Lytechinus pictus: one gene and its partner. The protein of the gene in region 2 interacts with the protein of the main gene of each other region in a pairwise test. Links are inferred from orthologs where the notes say so. Each region holds a gene or a part of one and is shown on either strand. Other genes may lie near its edges.

Region 1 (10,213 bases), on a different chromosome or scaffold from region 2:
CTATTGTTCCCGCGTTCGTGCGTACGGTCCTGGGGATTGGTATGAATTGACTACCGTATCAGATAATTTTCGTCACTTGATAAAGAGTTGCAGCGGCACTCGAAAGCTCGTGAACTTGTAAGCTAGTGAACACTTTTTGCGAGAGTGATCACGAATTTCCTAGAAAGCTAGTGAACACTTTTTGCGAGAGTGATCACGAATTTCCTTGTTGACCATAGTAGATTGCGAGACAAATGAATACCCTCTAGCGATTAGATCCATGAACTTTTAAAGTTACATGTATGATGACAATTCCACAAATACCCCCAACATTACCAAAGTTTGTTGACTCTAAATGGCCTTCAACCTTGGTCATGTGACCTGAAACTCGCTCATGATATTTAGGGATACATGGTTGCTCTTATGTCCTAGTTTCATGAACTAGATCCATAAACTTTTAAAGTTATGATGACGATTCCTCAAATAACCCCAACATGGCCAAACTTTGACCGTAAGTGACCTTTGACCTTAATCATGTGACCTGAAACTCAGGCAGGATCTTCAGTGATACACTAATACCCTTATGTTTAAGTTTTCTGAACTAGGTCCATATTCTTTCTAAGTTATGATGACATTTTCAAAAACTTGACCTTGGTTAAGATTTCGATATTAAGTTCATTGACCCTAAATGACCTTTGACCTTAGTCATGTGACCTGAAACTCAGGCAGGATGTTCAGTAATACTTGATTGCCCTTATGTCCAAGCTTTATGAACTAGGTCCATATACTTTCTAAGTTATGATGACATTTCAAAAACTTTACCTTGATTAAGATTTCAACATTGACAATGTCGCCGCAGTCAGAAGAGCGGCGCTTGTAGTCTCGCTCTGCTATGCAGGCGAGACAAAAATAAAAGAAATCTTGCAAGTCGTACCATCTGTACTTTCCCAGATACCCCATAAGGTGCTTGAGCATTCAAGGAATTTCTTCCAACTGCGTAACCATGTGCTACACATGGGTGTAAAGTGGCAAATGTAAATAAATGCCTTGGTGAAGGACACAAGTATTGTGGTGGCACTTGAACCCTAGACCTTGTGGTTCAAAGTTCAGAGACATATCCACAGAACCACAACACTGCATTATCATCATTCTATTTGTCTTAGGTATATATATATTTTTTTCTTTAAAAATTTGCCTGTCTTCAAGGTTCCACAATATATTTTGTTTCTAAATTAGTATAAAAATAGGGTTGGCATGGTTATAAACGAGAATAACTTCTTTTTTTAATATGTGTCAGACGTCTTAGGATGCACTTTAAAGTCACCATACTTGTATTTTCAAATTGTTAGTCTATTAATTACCTTCATCTTCTCTTTCTCAACTTCTTTTGCAAGTTGATCCACTTTGTCAATGAATCCTCCTACAATATGCTGAAAGTCTCCAATTTCTGTAAGATTAAAAAGGAAAAAAAACCCAAAGTACACATGATTAACGCAATATCTTTGTTATTAATAAATTTACCATATAACCTGCTCTTTGTGAGCATATATTAAAAAAAAAATCAAATTTAGGATGAGATATATGTGAATAACTTAATTGTAACCCTGAAGCCAACACAAAATTGGCATGAAATGCTTTAGATATACAACACTTTGAGGCATTAGAGTTTAAACTGCCCCCCCCCAAAAAAAAAAAATATATAGTTGATTTGAATAAGAGAAAAATAAAACAAGCATAACACATTAAAAAAAAAGTCATATCACTTATCACATCATCACTTTAGGGTCATTGACATGTGACTTATATGTAGTTCATTATGACCTCATTGAGCGTAATTGTGATCTATGCTGTGCATCGCATTACTTTCATTGTTGTACGCGTTGTATATTTTACGCATTCGCGCATGCGCACTAGACTGTTGATGGTCTTATACTCAATGGCAAATTTTGTACACGAGCCTATGGGATATTCATCGGATTTTGGTCACTGTTAGAGATACGCTCTGATACTGCACAGGCAATTGATGCAGACCAAAATAAGCGTTTATAATGTATGGCTAAAATGCTCTATTTAGATAATAATCTCTATTATGAAACATTCTAATTTTCTCATCACTGTCATGTAAAACAAAGTTTTATTCCTCCCTGAACATGTGGAATTACCATTGGTTTAACACTTTATGGTTCAGTCAAGTTGGACATTAATGTCAAATCTGTAAAAATACAAATATTGTACAATTCAAACAATTGAAAACAAAATAGTGAAAGAGGGACACTGTTGACTGTCTGAGGTTACATTTTAGTTGTAAATAATTACTATCATACAATATGACAATAATGAAATACATGTATTTTCCCTTTTCGTTCTTTCTTTCGTTTTTATTTTTGCTTCTTGGTTTCCCTTTTCTATCTTTCTTTCTTTATTTCTTTTTTTTTCCTTCTTTCTTTTTCATTCATTTTTTTTACCTTTTTCCTTTTTTCTATTCTTTCTCTCTCTTTCTTTCATTCTTTGGTCATCATTTTTGGTATTCCTTTCTTCTTTCTTTTTTTCTGTCTTCATTTTCTTCCTTCCCTTGATCTTTTTAATTTTTTTCTTTGTTTTCTTTCTGTTATTCATTTCTTCCATTTTTTTTTTTCCTTTTGGGGGTCTTTCTTTTTTTTCTGTTCATTTGTTTGCTCTTTCCTTCTTTCATTTTATTTTTGCTTTCTGAACCTTTTATGTCTTCTTTTTTACTTTTTCGTCCTTTCTTTTTATTCTCTCTTTCTTTCTTTCTTTATTTATTTTGCTTGTTCTATAGTTAGTACTTACTCTCTTTCTCTATTTTCTTTCTTTATTTTGTGCATGTGCCAAGAAAAGTCAGTCATTGCGTCTAAAATGCCTGTTTCGTGAAATGCGCGCCCAGGATCTGACATTCTCTTGACTTGAATAAACTGCCAGTGAATTTTGATTGGTAGAATCTAATTAGCATGACTAACATTCGACAGCCGTCTGCTTCAAGAAGTTTTTAAACATTTTTAATTTTTTTTATTTCTCCTCATACACAGATGGCTCACGAACGTGCACCCGCCATTAGGGAATTTGCAATGCAAAACCCCAACTGACAGGGATCTTTGTATTCTTTGATTTTTCACTTTATTCTAAATTGAATAATTACATAAAAAGAACTAGCCTAGTTCCACTTCCCGGTAAAGTTAATTAGGCCCTATTCCGTTTTAGCCTCTAGGCCTAGTCTAAACTTAGTCAAAGAAATAAGCTTAATTTAAACAAGGGGGAAAAAAGCAGTGGCTTACTTCGATTTCGGCTGTCTACCCCTGACATGCATGAATGAGCTCTAAATTGACTAAAATAGTAAAATAAGTAACGTTAAAACTTAAAGGTTTGGCTATATACCGCGCACACACGCAGCAGGTGCAGGCGCCCGGTCCCGGAGCGCCGCGGCGGCGCCGGAGCAGGGGCAGGCACCACAGAGCTAAGTCACCAGTAGAGGCGCTGGTCCAAAAATTGGGATTGTCCCAGAAAACAAGGATATCCTTATAAACCAAGACAAATTATGTCTTGATAAATTGAGACTGTCCTTGTTTATGGGGACGTTTTTTCTTCACTTCTCCCTACGGGACAAAGGCAGCAATTAGGGGAATTGAGAGTGCTAAAAATAGATTCAGTGACCTCAATTCCCCCCACTTCACCGTTTATTTATTATGACTTGCCGTCTTCCAATAATCTTGTTATGAAACCCGATATGTTTACATTGACTAGCACTCTTGATTGGTGTCGGCACTCAACAGGTGAATGAACTTTCCTAGATTTCTTGTGTGGAGAAATCCTTATAAACTGAGACAGTCCCTGTAAACGGGGACGATCCCAATTTTCTGACCAGCGCCTCTACTGGTCACGGGCGTCGAGCTGAGCCTGAGTGGTTCCATTCGATACTTCGATTGATTAAATTAAATTTACTCACTGTCCACAAAATCTTTACATTCTTCTTTCAATTCTGTCGTCTGGCTTTGAATTTCAGGTTCCAATACTCGTATTTTGTTTAAGTCATCAAAGTGCAAACCAGCATTTGCAAGAGCTTCGTCAGCCATGGTAACTGCGACTAGTAAATGGTAGGCACTTATGATCCAAGTTTGAAAGGAGACTCGTAAAATGACGTCAGTCTCGCCGATGAATATTCATTAGATCGTGGTCGTGCGTGTTCAATACACACTGCGTGCAGGCATGCAGATAGTTATATGCGAGGAACTTTGGCTCCAGAGACAAGTTGTCAAATAACGTGTGTGTGTACCATCGGCTGGTAGTATGCCATGCTGTCTAATACCCTTTTTACACAGGATTTTCTTAGCCCCGGACTATCGCTAACCCCGTACTATCCTTAACCCCGTACTATTTTTTTTCCTTTTTACACATGCCAAATTGTTATTGCTAACCCCGGATAAGGAATGCTTGCTTTTCACACACGAAACTCGCTAACCCCGGACTAGTGGTTTTTGTCGACCATTCGTAGTACAAGTACTTCACTCGTACCTTTTTACACACGCTACAATTTCCTTAACCCCGTACTATAGGTGGGGCCAAATTGCCATTTAGCCCCACCTATAGTACGGGGTTAAGCTTAGCCCACTTTCGTTTTACACTAGCGATCTTAACCCCGTACTATCGCTCTTAGCACCGCAATTGCTGGGATAACCCTGCTTTTTTGCAGGGCCAAATAGTCCCGTACTAAAGGTGGGGTTAGCCCACTTTGCAAAAATGCTGTGTAAAAAGAAAGTGGGCTAAGCTTAACCCCGTACTATAGGTGGGGCTAAATGGCAATTTAGCCCCACCTATAGTACGGGGTTAAGGAAATTTTAGCGTGTGTAAAAAGGGTATAAGACTTCAAACGCGTCGGAGAGAGTGCATGGCAATTCGGTAAAACGAAGTTTCCGATATAAAGAGATAATAAAATAACACTGTACAGTAGGCCCGGGGGGCCACTTATATTGACGAGTGGATACCATGCACGACCAAAAAAACACGTAAAAAGGATGTCTTTTTCAAGAGAGGGCACGTTACGTACGTAACGTGATAAGGGTGTCAAAAACACAAAAATATTGAACAAAGGGTATCTATTTCCAGTACGTTGAGAGGCAAATGTCAGATCAGGGGAGGCAGGAGTACAATCAGGTTTTTTTAAAGGGAAGAATAGTGTAGAATAAAAGGTATTATATATAGCAAATTGATCTAGGTGAGGGAAGCTTAAGTGAACAATGATGTTTTTAAAAAAAAGAATGAATATACCTTACCTGAATATTATGGTGAAGCCAATTTAAAAGGAGGTGAGACAAGTTTCAATGGAGGTTTTAAAAAAGAATAAACTGTATTATGGTGAAGCCAATTTAAAAGGAGGTGAGGCAAGTTTTAATGGAGGTTTTTAAAAAGAATAAACTGTACTACAAATTATGGTGAAGCCAATTTAAAAGGAGGTGAGGCAAGTTTTAATGGAGGTTTTTAAAAAGAATAAACAGTATTATGGTGAAGCCAATTTAAAAGGATGTGAGGCAAGTTTCAATGGAGGTTTTTAAAAAGAATAAACTGTATATGGTGAAGCCAATTTAAAAGGAGGTGAGGCAAGTTTCAATGGAGGTTTTTAAAACGAATAAACTGTATTATGGTGAAGCCAATTTAAAAGGAGGTGAGGCAAGTTTCAATGGAGGTTTTTAAAAAGAATAAACTGTATTATGGTGAAGCCAATTTAAAAGGAGGTGAGGCAAGTTTCAATGGAGGTTTTTAAAACGAATAAACTGTATATATGGTGAAGCCAATTTAAAAGGAGGTGAGGCAAGTTTCAATGGAGGTTTTTAAAAAGAATAAACTGTATTATGGTGAAGCCAGTTTAAAAGGAGGTGAGGCAAGTTTCAATGGAAGTTTTTAAAAAAGAATAAACTGTACTACAAATTTAAAAGGAGCTGGCGAGGCAAGTTTCAATTGAGGTTTTTAAAAAAGAATAAACTGTACTACAAATTATGGTGAAGCCAATTCAAAAGGAGGTGAGGCAAGTTTCAATGGAGGTTTTACAAAAAGAATAAACTGTACTACAAATTATGGTGAAGCCAATTTAAAAGGAGGTGAGGCAAGTTTCAATGGAGGTTTTTAAAAAAGAATAAACTGTACTACAAATTATGGTGAAGCCAATTCAAAAGGAGGTGAGGCTAGTTTCAATGGAGGTTTAAAAAAATAAACTGTATTATGGTGAAGCCAATTTAAAAGAAGGTGAGGCAAGTTTCAATTGAGGTTTTTTTAAAGAATAAACTGTACTACAAATTTGAAAGGAGGTGAGGCAAGTTTCAATGGAGGTTTTTAAAAAGAATACATGTATTACAAGTTATGGTGAAGCCAATTTAAAAGGAGGTGATCGAGGCAAGCCTCAATGGAGGTTTTTGAAAAGAATAAACTGTATTATGGTGAAGCCAATTTAAAAGGAGGTGAGGCAAGTTTCAATGGAGGTTTTAAAAAAAATAAACTGTACTACAAATTTAAAAGGAGGTGAGGCAAGTTTCAATGGAGGTTTATAAAAAAGAATAAACTGTACTATAAATTATGGTGAAGCCAATTCAAAAGGAGGTGAGGCAAGTTTCAATGGAGGGTTTAAAAAAAGAATAAACTGTACTACAAATTATGGTGAAGCCGATTTAAAAGGAGGTGAGGCAAGTTTCAATGGAGGTTTTTAAAAAGAATAAACTGTATTACAAGTTATGGTGAAGGCAATTTAAAAGGAGGCGAGGCAAGTCCGTTTTTAAAAAGAATAAACTACTACAAATTATGGTGAAGCCAATTTAAAAGGAGGTGAGGCAAGTTTTAATGGAGATTTTTTAAAAGAATAAACTGTACTAAATTTGAAAGGAGGTGAGGCAAGTTTCAATTGAGGTTTTTAAAAAGAATAAACTGTACTACAAATTTGAAAGGAGGTGAGGCAAGTTTCAATGGAGGTTTTTAAAAAGAATAAACTGTACTACAAATTATGGTGAAGCCAATTTAAAAGGAGGTGAGGCAAGCCTCAATGGAGGTTTAAAAAAAAGAATTAACTGTACTACAAATTATGGTGAAGCCAATTTAAAAGGAGGTGAGGCAAGCCTCAATGGAGGTTTTTAAAAAGAATAAACTGTATTATGGTGAAGCCAATTTAAAAGGAGGTGAGGCAAGTTTCAATGGAGGTTTTAAAAAATAAACTGTATTATGGTGAAGCCAATTTAAAAGGAGGTGAGGCAAGTTTCAATGGAGGTTTTAAAAAAAGAATTAACTGTACTACAAATTATGGTGAAGCCAATTTAAAAGGAGGTGAGGCAAGCCTCAATGGAGGTTTTTAAAAAGAATAAACTGTATTACGGTGAAGCCAATTTAAAAGGAGGTGAGGCAAGTTTCAATGGAGGTTTTAAAAAATAAACTGTATTATGGTGAAGCCAATTTAAAAGGAGGTGAGGCAAGTTTCAATTGAGGTTTTTTAAAAGAATAAACTGTACTACAAATTTGAAAGGAGGTGAGGCAAGTTTCAATGGAGGTTTTTAAAAAGAATAAACTGTACTACAAATTTAAAAGGAGGCGAGGCAAGTTTCAATGGAGGTTTTTAAAAAATAATAAACTGTACTACAAATTATGGTGAAGCCAATTTAAAAGGAGGTGAGGCAAGTTTCAATGGAGGTTTTAAAAAAAGAATAAACTGTCGGGAGATAAAATTAGCCACACAAGCTGGAATAAGCCTCCTGCAACCATTTCAAGAAGGCAGAACATAATCTTGTATATAGTTGTTAAACAATCCATATTCACATTTTGTATGGTGAAGATTAGCTTTTTCTTGAAAGAGCTGAACTTTTAAGTAAAGGTTGCAAAACTATGCTTCTACCCCTTTTGTCATTGGTGTGATGTAGTTAAATGTTCAACTTGTAATGAACTTATTGAAACAAGGTATAACTACACAATCACAGAGTAGACCTAATACAAATCAAATATTTTTTTCACAAGAGATACTGTTATGGAGTAATTTAGTACTGTTTTACAACAATTACATTAAAGGACAAGTCCACCCCAACAAAAAGTTGATTTGAATAAAAAGAGAAAAAATCAACAAGCATAACACTGAAAATTTCATCAAAATCGGATGTAAAATAAGAAAGTTATGACATTTTTAAGTTTTGCTTAATTAAAAAAAACAGTTATATGCACATCCTGGTCTGTATGCACCTGAGGAGACTGATGACGTCATCCTCTCACTATTTCTTTTGTATTTTATTATAGGAAATATGAAATATTCTAATTTTCTCCTCAATGTCAAGTGATACAACGATTAATTCCTCCCTGAACATGTGGAATTAGCTTTGTTTAATACTATATGGTTCAGTCAAGTTGGTCCTTATTGTCAAATGTATAGAAAATGAAATATTGTATAATTCAAACAGTAAAAAACAAACGAAATAGTGAGTGATTGACATCATCGACTGACTCACCTTGTTGTGTATATCACTGTTTTGTCAAAAATAAGCGAAACTTTCAAATGTCAAAACTTTCTTATTCTACGTTTGATTTTGATGAAATTTTCAGCATTATGCAAGTTTGAATTTTCTCTATTTATTCAAGTCAGCATTTTCCTGGGGTGGACTTGACCTTTAAGCTGCCAACTGCCTTAAAGAAATACCTGTTTTACACAAATTGCATAGTCATTGAATATTTACTAGAAAAAGTCACAAACAGTGTCCCAGGGTATAAATTAATTTCATAAGAAGAAAATAAAGAATGCTTGTAAAAATACCAATCTTGCTATCACATAAAAAATAAATTGTTTATAATATGAAAGAGAAACAGCACAGCATTGATCTTCACCTGGATTTGCATAATGTGAATGGTGACGCATCATCAAAGGAGATAATGCTTTATTTATTAGATCTAGCCTTTTGACAAGGCAGCATGACTTCTTCAAGTAGTGGCTAAAATAAGGTTAGTTTGACGAAGAAGAGAAATGGCAAAACCTGCGGACACATGCGAGATCAAGCAACTTCAGTTGCGAAGCCTTATAAATTTTTGCTTTTACTGCAAGCACTATGAATTATCCATGAGCATGCCGATGCGCCGATTCACACTTTTGATGCCCGATGTCATGAGACATCAGGCAATGAAATACATGTTATATCAGACATGGAGCTTTGTCTAAAGTCTATGTTAGATCTGCTCTGATCATGGAAGCAAAAGTTGTACTGCTAGGAAGACAAATTACAAGATAAAAACAATTTTCGATGTTTATTTTACTTTTCAATAAATTTATTATATATTTCTAGAATTAATTATCTTATGTTTATTGCTTTTTGTTGCCATTCATATTCTTACTGCAAAGAAAATACAATATTTGAAACGATTATCTGTTTCTTAACTGGTCAATAAATTTCTTATATATTTCTCTAATTAATTATCTTCTGTTTATTATTTTTTGCGATTCATAGAAAACTCATAATGTAAAAAAAATATTGAAAACCATTTTCTATGTTTATTTACTGTTCCATAAATTTCTTATATATTTCTCTCGATAATTATCTTCTGTTTACTGGGTTTTTTTGGCCATTCATAGAAAACTTACTATGAAAGAGAGAGAAAAAAAATTGAAAATGATTTTTATATTCATTTACTGTTCAATAAATTTCTATATATTTGTCTAATTATCTTCTGTTTACTGAGTGTTTATTTTTTTTTGGGGGGGAGGAGGGGGTGCTGGAACCTTCTTTATAAACATGATATGATTTTTTTTTAAAATTAGTACGAGTATAAATAATGATACATTAATTTTTGGCAAGTAACAGAATCTGTATTGTGTCTGTACATGAAGTCATGCTTTTGAGCAATTTTTGGTCTTGCATGCATATGTATAGCATGCTGAAATGTTGCTAAAATCCTTTGGTCATGGCCATTTGACAATGGCAAGGAGAGCATTTATTAATGAAAACTTAGCAAATGGTCCATCCTATGTTGAAATATAATGTATCAATACATTAAACTGTTAAAGATATCAAGATATTGAATTTCCCCCAAAATGTATCCTCATGATATTGAGTGCCCCCTTATGGTCTAATATCTATTAATTTTTCTCACGAAATGAATACATTTTTAGATAAGATGGCAGAAATTTGAGATACTGGTTGAAAAATTAAAATCACTTTATTTAAAAACAATTGTGTCGCTAAGGCACGCTCATAATACGCCCCACCTGTAACACGGA
Region 2 (9,742 bases):
GTTGGGACTTGGTGGTCTTTTTAGTCCTGCTGTAAACAAAGATCAGATATTTTATTAAAAGAATAATGTGATTAATTATTTGTTCCTTCCCTATATTAGCATGCTTAACACCAATGTGTATATCCACCCACCTGGCATTTTTTATTTCATACATATTGAATAAGTTACCGCAATCTATCCATAAGTCTCTCGTCTTTTCACATGAGAAAAACAGATGCTCGTAAGTTTCTTCAGTATTCCCACAAAATGAACATTCACTATCTGAGAAAATTTTGAATAAATGTAAATATTTCTTCGTGTATATTAACTCATAAAGCATTTTAAATTGAAACTCTCTAAGCCTATACTGCTTAGAGTACATTTTCTGGGTCTTGAAAATATAGCACATATATCTTTTTCGGAGAAATTATATGTCTTATATTATCAAACGCATACGATTTTTCTAATTTAATACTTAAAAGTGCCTTGTATATTTTATTAGATGTCACGTTTGGTAAACTGTTAATCTTACCATTAAATATAAATTCTAGATTTAGACCAGTGTCTTCACAATTGTCTTTTTTCTTCAATAGGTGTTTCCATGTTGCTGGAATATTTTCAAAAACTTTATAAACTTTATCTATTTCATTTCCATCTAAACCCATTTTCAGAAAGTCTCTTTGCTTCCACCATATAAATAATTTTTTTTATTTTACTTAGAATCTATTTGTAATTAACATTTTCCTGAATTTCTACATCTAATGATAAAGTTATTCCTAATATTTTGATAGTTTCAACTAATTTACCAAATGGAACTTTAATATCTTTTGTAGAAAGAGGACCCAACGCTAATATAAATGTGTTTTCTTTATTCATTTTTAAGCCTGAAATCTTAGCAAAATCTCCAAATATTTTTCCGATTCTATCAATAGATTGGGAGTCCCTCACAAAAAGTGTCATATCATCCGCATAGAGCGCTTGTTTGACTTCTACATTACCAAAGCTGATTCCGTGGATGGATTTATCTTTACGAATGGTATTAGAAAGGACCTCGATACAAAGTATAAACAAATAAGGAGAGAGGGGATCCCCATGTCTCACACCTCTTTCAACACTAAAGTATCCTGTCGATATACCCCCATTAAATACGCAACTCAGGGCATTTTTGTATAATGTTTTGATCCAGCTGCAAAATGAGGACCCGAAGCCAAAAGAACGTAAAACGTTTTGCAAAAAGATGTGCGAGACCGAATCAAACGCTTTTTCAAAATCTATTGCCATTAAGAAACCAGGTGCATTATTTTGTTGTGTGTAGTAAATCATATCGTCAATCAATCTTTTTTTTTTTTTTTTTTTTTTTTTTTTTTTTTTTTTTAAACAAGTGCACACCTAGTTACCAATAATGCATATAGCATTTACATTTATTTGAAAGCAGGATAAAAGAGCATTGAAGATTAAATGCTTTGCTGACGGGCATAGGTGCCGCGGCCGGGGATCGTACCCCGGACTTTTTCATGTATAGCCAGGCGCCTTAGACCACTCGGCCACGGCACCTCCTAAATCTAATTGATCTAATACGATACGATACACTACACGAAGATAAACGATACTAGTTATAATCGCGATAAATCGAGACATGAAAAAGTTAATAACGATAATGACGTCATTCAAGATGGCAACTTGCAAGAAAAACCGTCAGGTCAGGTGAAAATGTCTTAGATGACAGATTTCTCAATCATCCAGAGGATTTTTTTCAATAACTCCGGCCCAAGGTATGCAATTACTTAAGTTATTTATATTACCCTGATAATGGAAACCATGAAAATGTCAATTTTGCCTAAAAAACAGTTTTAAATCGCGATCTATAAAACGCTAGTTCACTATACGTTGGCTGTAGGTAGGGGCCCCCCTCCTCTTCAGTCTATGTATGGTGAGTGGAGCCAACGCAGTTCAGCGGAACAACCAAAATACAGAGACTGAAGCTTTTGGTCTAGGTCATGGGCCAAAACCACTCACTCACACGTATTGCGAGGTTAGTATGCTATACTATACAAACCTCGCACCACGTATGGTTGGAACTACCCCTTATCAACCACCTAATTTTCTAAGCATCATATCTGCGAAAATATTTATCACTCATCAGTTTTACCTAGTTTTCGTCTCATTTGTGCAGAAAATTGAGCAGATCAGATTCCCATGTTTCGATCGGCAACTCCGATTCAATTCGCGTATATATCGGCGAACAACGAATACGACGGTTTTACATTTGCTCATTTGCACCCTTCTTTTGAAACCGACCACCTGCAATACACTAAGTTTACGGCCGATTCTTGTCGCGGTGGTGAAATATTTTTACTCTTTCAAATCAGTTCTATGATGTCAACATGCTAAATCATTGTCTCACTACTTCCATCCACTGCGAGCTCTGGCACATGATTCGACGATTGATGACGGATATTTGTTCTAAAGCCGTTTCCTATCGGAAACGGGGCGGGTTCGGGTCTAGTCATACAATTTTGATAAATTCTACTAAATTTTTACCCTTTTACCCTTTTCCCCTTCTTTTTCTCTTGTAAAAATCAATTCTTACCGTTCCTATGGACACTGCGCCTACTCTCCTGCGCGTATCGTTTGTAATGAGCAATAATTTTGATGCGCGCAAGGTGGTCGGTTTCAAAAGAGGTGGTCGATATGTAGTGGTCTCACCATACGTGTTTACAGTATGGACTTTAGAGTTGTCGGTTACCATCGCTTTATAACGCGAATAATGTTAGTCGAAACTCATTCCGCTACTCACCAGGACTTTTTCTGGTGAAAAGCGTTCCATTTTCAATTTTACAAATTTTATTAATGTAAAAATCATGTAAAAAAGAGCAAAATCGCTTACCTCGGCCTGGAAAGTTGCTCCGCATGTCTCTTCGACGGAAATAAAAGGAAGGTTGTTGGTGGCGCTAATAGTGGGCTCCACACTAACTCTTTTTTTCTACTGGTCCAACCTATTCATGTCGGACCAGTAGATACCCAGTTTTTCCATTTTTTACTGGTCCGAACCTAAAATCTACTGGTCCCAAAAAATAAAGAAAACATTAAAAAAAAGGCGTTGGTTTATTTTGCTTTCCTTTTTTGTTACCCCCCCCCCCAAAAAAAAAAAAATGAAGGACTGAAAGACAAAAAGAAAGCAAGACAAAAAGAAAGAAACAAAGGAAGAAAGAATAAAAGAAAGGAAGGAAGAAAAAAAGAAAAGGTAAAGAAAGGATAGATGTGAAGGAAGGAAAAAAAGAAAGAACTAATGAAAGAAAGAAGGAAAGGAAGGAAGGAAGGAAAGAAAGAACAAAAAATAGAAAGAAAAAAACAAAAGAAAAAAAAGGAAGGAAAGAAAGAAAGAAAGAAAGAAAGAAAGAAGGAAAGAAAGAAAAAAAGAAGGAAAGAAATGAAGTAAGCAAGAAAGAAAGAAAAACAAAAGACAGAAATTAATGAAAAAAGGAAAGAAGGAAGCAATAAAAAAGAAAGAGAGAGAGTAAAAGGAGAGATGGAAAGAAGGAATAAAGAAAGAAAGAATGAATAAAAGGAAGGAAGGAAGAAAAAGGTAAAGAAAGGATAGATGTGAAGGAAGGAAAAAAGGAAAGAACTAAAGAAGGAAAGGAAGGAAGGAAAGAAAGAACCAAAATAAGAAAGAAAGAACAAAAGAAAATAAATGAATAAAGAAATGAAGGAAAGAAAGAAAGAAGGAAAGAAATGAAGCAAGCAATATAGAAAAAGAACAAAAGACAGAAAGTAATGAAGGAAAGAAAGAAGGAAAGAAGCAATAAAAAAGAAAGGCTAAAAGGAGAGATGGAAAGAAGGAAGAAAGAAAGAAGAAAGGAAGAAAAAAAAAAAGGTAAAATGATAGATAGAAGGAAAAAAGAATGAAGGAAAGAAATAAAGAAGGAAGGAAGCAGTCAAGCAATATATAAAAGAAAGAAAATATAAAAGAATAGATGAAAGGAAGAAAAAAAGAGGCCAAGACAAAGAAAGGAAGGAATGAAGGAAAGAACGAAAGAAGAATGGAAAGGAAGCAAGCAGTAAAAAAAAAAAAAAAAAAAAAAGGTAAAAGGATAGTTGGAACGAAGGGGAAAAAAGAACAAAAAACAGTATAAAGAAAGGAAGGAATGAATGAAAGAAAGGGCTGAAAGAAGGAAGAAATAAAAAAGGGTAAAGAAAGGATGGATGGAGTGAAGAAAGAAACAAAGAAAGAAAGTGACAAAGAATGAAGGAAAGAAAGGGTAAAAAGAAGGAAGGAAAGGAAGAAAGAAAGAGATAAATATAGGATGGATGAACTCAAGAATTAAAGAAAGAAAGAAATAAAAAATGAAAGAAGAGAGGGAAGAAACAAAGAAAGATTGAAAAGAAAGAAGGAAAGAAAGATAGAAAGAAAACAGAGGAAGAAAGCTAAAACTATCATTATAAATAAATTATCAGTTTCTTTTTGGCTCAATTAAGATGTATAGCTACGAAAGAACCCAAGTGTATCAACACACACACAAAAGCATTTGTGGGGCTATCATGTATTCAGATGATATCACTCGAAACCCGATCTCTTTGAACTAAAACAGAAGTGAAAATTTCTCCTTTTACTGCTTACAAATGACAGAGTTACCCCAATTTTTAGGAAATATGGACATTACAAGAGCTTTTCAGTAGTCATGTTAGTGTGAAATGTGAATTTTGACAGTTCTGTGAGAGATTTTTGCCAGAGGTTAGCCAAGCTTCGTTCGTGCAGCCAGTATAGTAGAAAATTTACCATGTGGCTGTGTGGCTGGCTAGCCATATGTACACTGTATGTTACCCTAGTAAAAATTGCATACAATTCATTCTGTGTGTATTCTGTGTGTGAATGACAGAAATTAACTGGAGGAAGATGATTTGCAATTTGAGTCATGGAATATTTTTAATGTTTATGTTGGACTAGTGAATTTGACCATTTCTGGAAAAGTTACTGGCCCATCAATGGTTTTTGTTACTGTTTATGTCGGACCCATAAATCTTGCTATTTTAGGAATAATTACTGGCCCGACAATGATATTTTTTTACTGGTCATGTCGGACCAGTAAATCTTGCTATTTCTGAAAATCTACTGGCCCGACAGTGATTTTTACCGGTCTGGGACCGTCGGACCGGGGCTATTCTCCACCTAATGAATATTTATGATGACCTGCATGTTACTGTTTTCACATAATATTGCTGAACATTATTTGTTGTCTTAATTCTGAAAACTATAATAAAGGGAGAAGATAGTTTCTTCAAATGGAGGTTCAACAATTTCAAAGCAAAATACAGATACCTCTAGTAACTTCACTTACTCTAATTCAATTGACTGTCCTAAGATTAGAAAATTAAAGAATGAACAATATAGCCTTTTTCACTTTGCAAAAATGAAGAAAGATTATCCTTTCCCATTTTTTTTTCTACAGAATCATATTGCTCATTTACCTCTTAGGTCCGAGGACGGACCTATAATTTGTATGGAAACCACATCATTTTGAAAGAACAAGCTTGTTGTATCCAAGATGGCTATTTTCTTTGATCATCGAGTTCAGTCAGGCTCAACTAGCCATGTAGATATATCATGGCATAATGAACAACCTTTACTTGCTATTGCAATGAGAGGCCAGCAAGGCGGAGGTGTCATCAACATTTTCAATGAAGAGGTAAGGAAAAGGTTTTTTTTCTCTCGAGAAAGATTTACATTTTTCATGACCCATCTTCATGTTATTTATTTTCTATCTACGTAAAGTGATTGCTATTCATCTTAAAGGAACAATATTTTTAATGAAAGAAAATACTGTGAATTCAAGTTCTGTGTTGATATTTTTGGTGTGGTTTAATCTTTATAGTGGATGATGTAAATGAAAACATTTCAATTTCTTTCCCTTGTCGATATCAAAATAAAATAATCGCTTATGAAACGGAATATATCCGTGTGTGCGACAAATGAGTTCATAAACCTTCAAAAATCACTCATGAATAATAATTCTATGAATTATCTTTATCACTGCCTGTCATTGTTTATTTGCCCTTCCTCTGAATAAAGGAAGATTGATTTATGTGTATTGTTAATTAGGGTCAAGCCCTTCCAGCAGCTAATCTTCAACGTTCTTGCTACTCCACCTCATTGGCCTGGCATCCTACCCATCCTTCAGTGGCTGTAGGATGGGAGAGTGGAGAGATTCTAATCTGGAATGAGCAAGATCAGCAGCTTCAGGAAGCCACCAAACTTCACAAGGCTCAGGTCTGCTTGCTTCAATGGAGTGTCAAGGGTCAACGTTTATTATCAGGAGATAAGGTCAGACTTGGCAAGTGTTTTATGAAGAGTTTTGTTTCTTCATTCACTGACATGATATAAGCTACAGAAATAATTGCATCTGATTGGTTGAGAACAAATTAGTCAGTAAAAAATAATTTGCAAAGCTCTTCATGAACCCCCCTCCTGGATTCTTATGGATCTATCAGTTTCTTGTTAAAATAAACCCTGTATTAATCTGAGCTTTTATATCTCTCTGATATGATATCAAATGCACATGCATGAGTTTGGAGTTCTATGCATAAAGCTGCAACTTGATGCATGACATGTATGTGCACAAGGGATGTATCTTTATAGGTATGTAGTGATTCATCACTTTATTTAACATTCAAATTGTTCAAAACAAAGGAATGAGTACAAACGTGGGAGGAATTACGACCAGGACATATCTGGGTACATAGAATAGCCTAAACAGGACATACATAAATACTAATAACAAAATGGCATAACAATACAAATTGTCTTTTAACTTCTATGGAACTACGACAAATTTTCTTGGTCAACAAAACTTATTCCTTGCTTGACTCCACAAGAAGATTTAACATTCTGTTATAAGCTACTGAATGTATCTAATTTGACAAAAAAAATCTATATCATAGCATTCTTGCCCTTGTTATTGATAACCGGGTCTTTTACACTTTGCTTATATATCATATCACTTAATGTAGGTCTGTTATGCAATAATCAGGAATATCGAAGGAGATTACTAATTCTCGCTTTCTTGATTAACATTGATTATAGGAAGGAACATTGATCATGTGGAAGAGTGACGGAAAAGGTCATCTGACTAGTAATCCCATCAGTCAATTACCATCTCAACAGACGCCAACTCAATGTTTATTTCCCTATGGTGGACCAAAACAGGATGAGTAAGAGCAACTATCCTTTTTACCTTCGCCAAATGAAGTTTGAAAGGGGTGCAATCACCCCAGATCCTGGTTTCTGTCATTCAAGTGTTATTCCTGACTAGAAATGTTCAGTATACAGTGCGTCCCACAAAAAACGAAACCGAGGTTTACGAATGATTTATCATAACTTAATCACAAATACAGTAGACAAATGACCTATCATTGTAAAGCTTAGAATCTCTTCTCTCAGCTGGTATAACATACAAGATTTCTCATCCTCGCATGAGTGAATAAAAACAATTTGAAGAAAGGATAGCAAAAAGTCATTTGGCGGGAGATATCAAAATTTCAAAAAGAAAATCACATGCCTAAGAAGTTCAATATTTGCTCTTTAATTTGATAGCTAAATCGCAGAAAATGGTCAAGAAATAACAAAGCTATGCTTCTTCAAAACAATGCTTGTATTTCCATAATTTCATGAAACATACATGTTTTCACCGGTTTCTCACCTAAGCTATCGCACGGTTAACAAAAGACTTTATGCATGGCTGATCGTCAACAAAACGGAGTGTCGAGTAAGTCTGAAAGCTATCCAGTAAAACCTCTTCATTTTTTGAAATTATTGGAATTCAAGCCTTATTTCAAATAAACAGAACTTTGTTATTTCTTGACCGTTTTCTGTAACTGAGGTATCAAATTTAAGAGCAGATATTGAAATTTTTAAAAATGTGAGTTTCTTTTTGAAACTCAGATACAGCCCGCCAAGTGACTTTTTGGTTTCCTTTCTTCAAATTGATTTTGCTCACTCATGCATGAATGATAAATAATCTAAGTTATTTCAAATGAAAGAGGAGACACTCAGCTTTACATTTGTCTATTGTATTTGTGATTAAGTTATGGAAAATCATTGATAAATCTTGGTTTCGTTTTTTCTGGGATGTACTCTATATTTAATGAGCTGTGTGCAGATTAAATTAAGGCATTGTTGCCCTTACTATTCATCAGGTTATTGGCAGGTTTGTCCATTGCAAATGTTGTGGATCAACTTACTTTCTCACTTTTTAACATATTTCTAATACAAAATTTTGCATAAACATTGGTCTTAAGGCACATTTTTGCATGTGTTGATGATTTTTATATTTAGGGCAAAAATTTGTTAAAAATTTTGAGGTCATGGCCCTGGAAAGCGGGGATGCTGGGGGTGCTATAGCACGCCCAAGATTTTTCATGGGGTGCTGCATATGTAATAACCATAGGCAGCACCCCCCTAGGAATCAGGTTGACAAGCCAACAACAAAAAAAAAACCTCTCAAAATGACATGTTTGGGAGCAATTACCTTTATTTAATTTTTTTTTTCTTGTCATTTTTTTCCAGATGACAATCCCCTTCATAATACCCCCAGCATCTCTTATTTAAAACTCATTCCAGGGCCCTGCTTGTTTTTCCAAGTTTCATACTACTTCCTCACTTTTTTACCAGTGCTCATGAAATTTGGCACACTTGTCTTGAAGTAAAGAGGGGCAACACATTTTTTCTCTATTTATTGGAAACTGTTTTGCCATGGTAACGGCATTGGATGGGGGGGGGGGTAAGGGGTGGTAATTACTGTCAGTGATATTTCTTGTCTTTAATTGTTTGTATTGTTTTGGTATCCATTAGCATGCAAATGTTGCTATTTATGCATTCATTCAATTATTGATTTAACAATCATACACTAATTAGTGTTTACTGTCACATTTGGCTTTAATACATCTATAGAATAAATCAGTAGTACAATATTGAAAGAAGATATGAAAAGAACAATCATTGCTATCCTCTCAGAATTTAACTGGGAGTTGAGGATAGGTGATGCAGTCATATCTACATGGCTTTTATAATGTGTATGGATTCAGGTCAAAACATAAAGGATTGCTTCCAGAAAATTTACAAATTAAACAATTGACAAACAATTCTATATTCTTAGAAATAAGATATTTTTATGTCACTTTATTCGGGTGTCTCTTTCAATAATCTCTCGAAAAAAACTCTTCCAATTCACTATCACTCTCATCTTTGCTGTCTTACTTTGTCAATGTAGATTTCCACTCAATTTCTTTCCTTTTTTTGTCAATTTATGGTGTAAAGTGATCGGAGTGCCCCATGGAGCTCAAATTTGTACAAAGGTTCTTCCAGTCTGTTAGCGGATGGCAATGCTTGCTTTGTAGGAGGAGAGGAAGGTAAGTTGCATTTCTTCCCCAATAGTACCTGTGGGTGCTTCGTGGTCTAGTGGTTCTGACTCTTGCCTTTGAACAGAGGGTCGTGGGTTCAAATCGTAGCCATGGCGTGTTTTCCTTTAGCAAGAAATTTATCCACACTGTGCTGCCATCGACCCAGGTGAGGTGAATGGGTACCTGGCAGGAGTAATTCCTTGCATGCACTGAGCGGCGGTGATGGTAGCTTGAGCTAGAGCCAGGGTAATGATAGCAGCGCTTTGTATCCTCTGGCAAAAAGGGCTTTATAAATCCAGCTATTATTATTACCTGCATGTACTAGAAATGAATTTGGTCAACATTATATCCAAGAGATGTTTGACAA

Evidence for each region.
Region 1: the proteins of intraflagellar transport protein 140 homolog (region 2) and intraflagellar transport protein 20 homolog interact in a protein complementation assay, tested with the Caenorhabditis elegans proteins (2 studies listed by BioGRID). The link is inferred for Lytechinus pictus from reciprocal best matches to the Caenorhabditis elegans genes che-11 and ift-20.

What each region holds. Positions count from the first base shown.
Region 1 is NC_087246.1:4,616,174-4,626,386, forward strand, and holds the start of intraflagellar transport protein 20 homolog, read right to left. Parts: upstream 4,521-10,213; 5' UTR 4,065-4,520; coding exon 3,938-4,064; intron 1,427-3,937; coding exon 1,341-1,426; intron 1-1,340. UniProt on the Caenorhabditis elegans protein: Component of the intraflagellar transport (IFT) complex B required for transport of proteins in the motile cilium. Required for ciliary entrance and transport of specific ciliary cargo proteins such as che-3 which are related to motility.
Region 2 is NC_087254.1:17,771,281-17,781,022, forward strand, and holds the start of intraflagellar transport protein 140 homolog, read left to right. Parts: upstream 1-5,431; 5' UTR 5,432-5,525; coding exon 5,526-5,666; intron 5,667-6,079; coding exon 6,080-6,301; intron 6,302-7,060; coding exon 7,061-7,188; intron 7,189-9,292; coding exon 9,293-9,384; intron 9,385-9,742.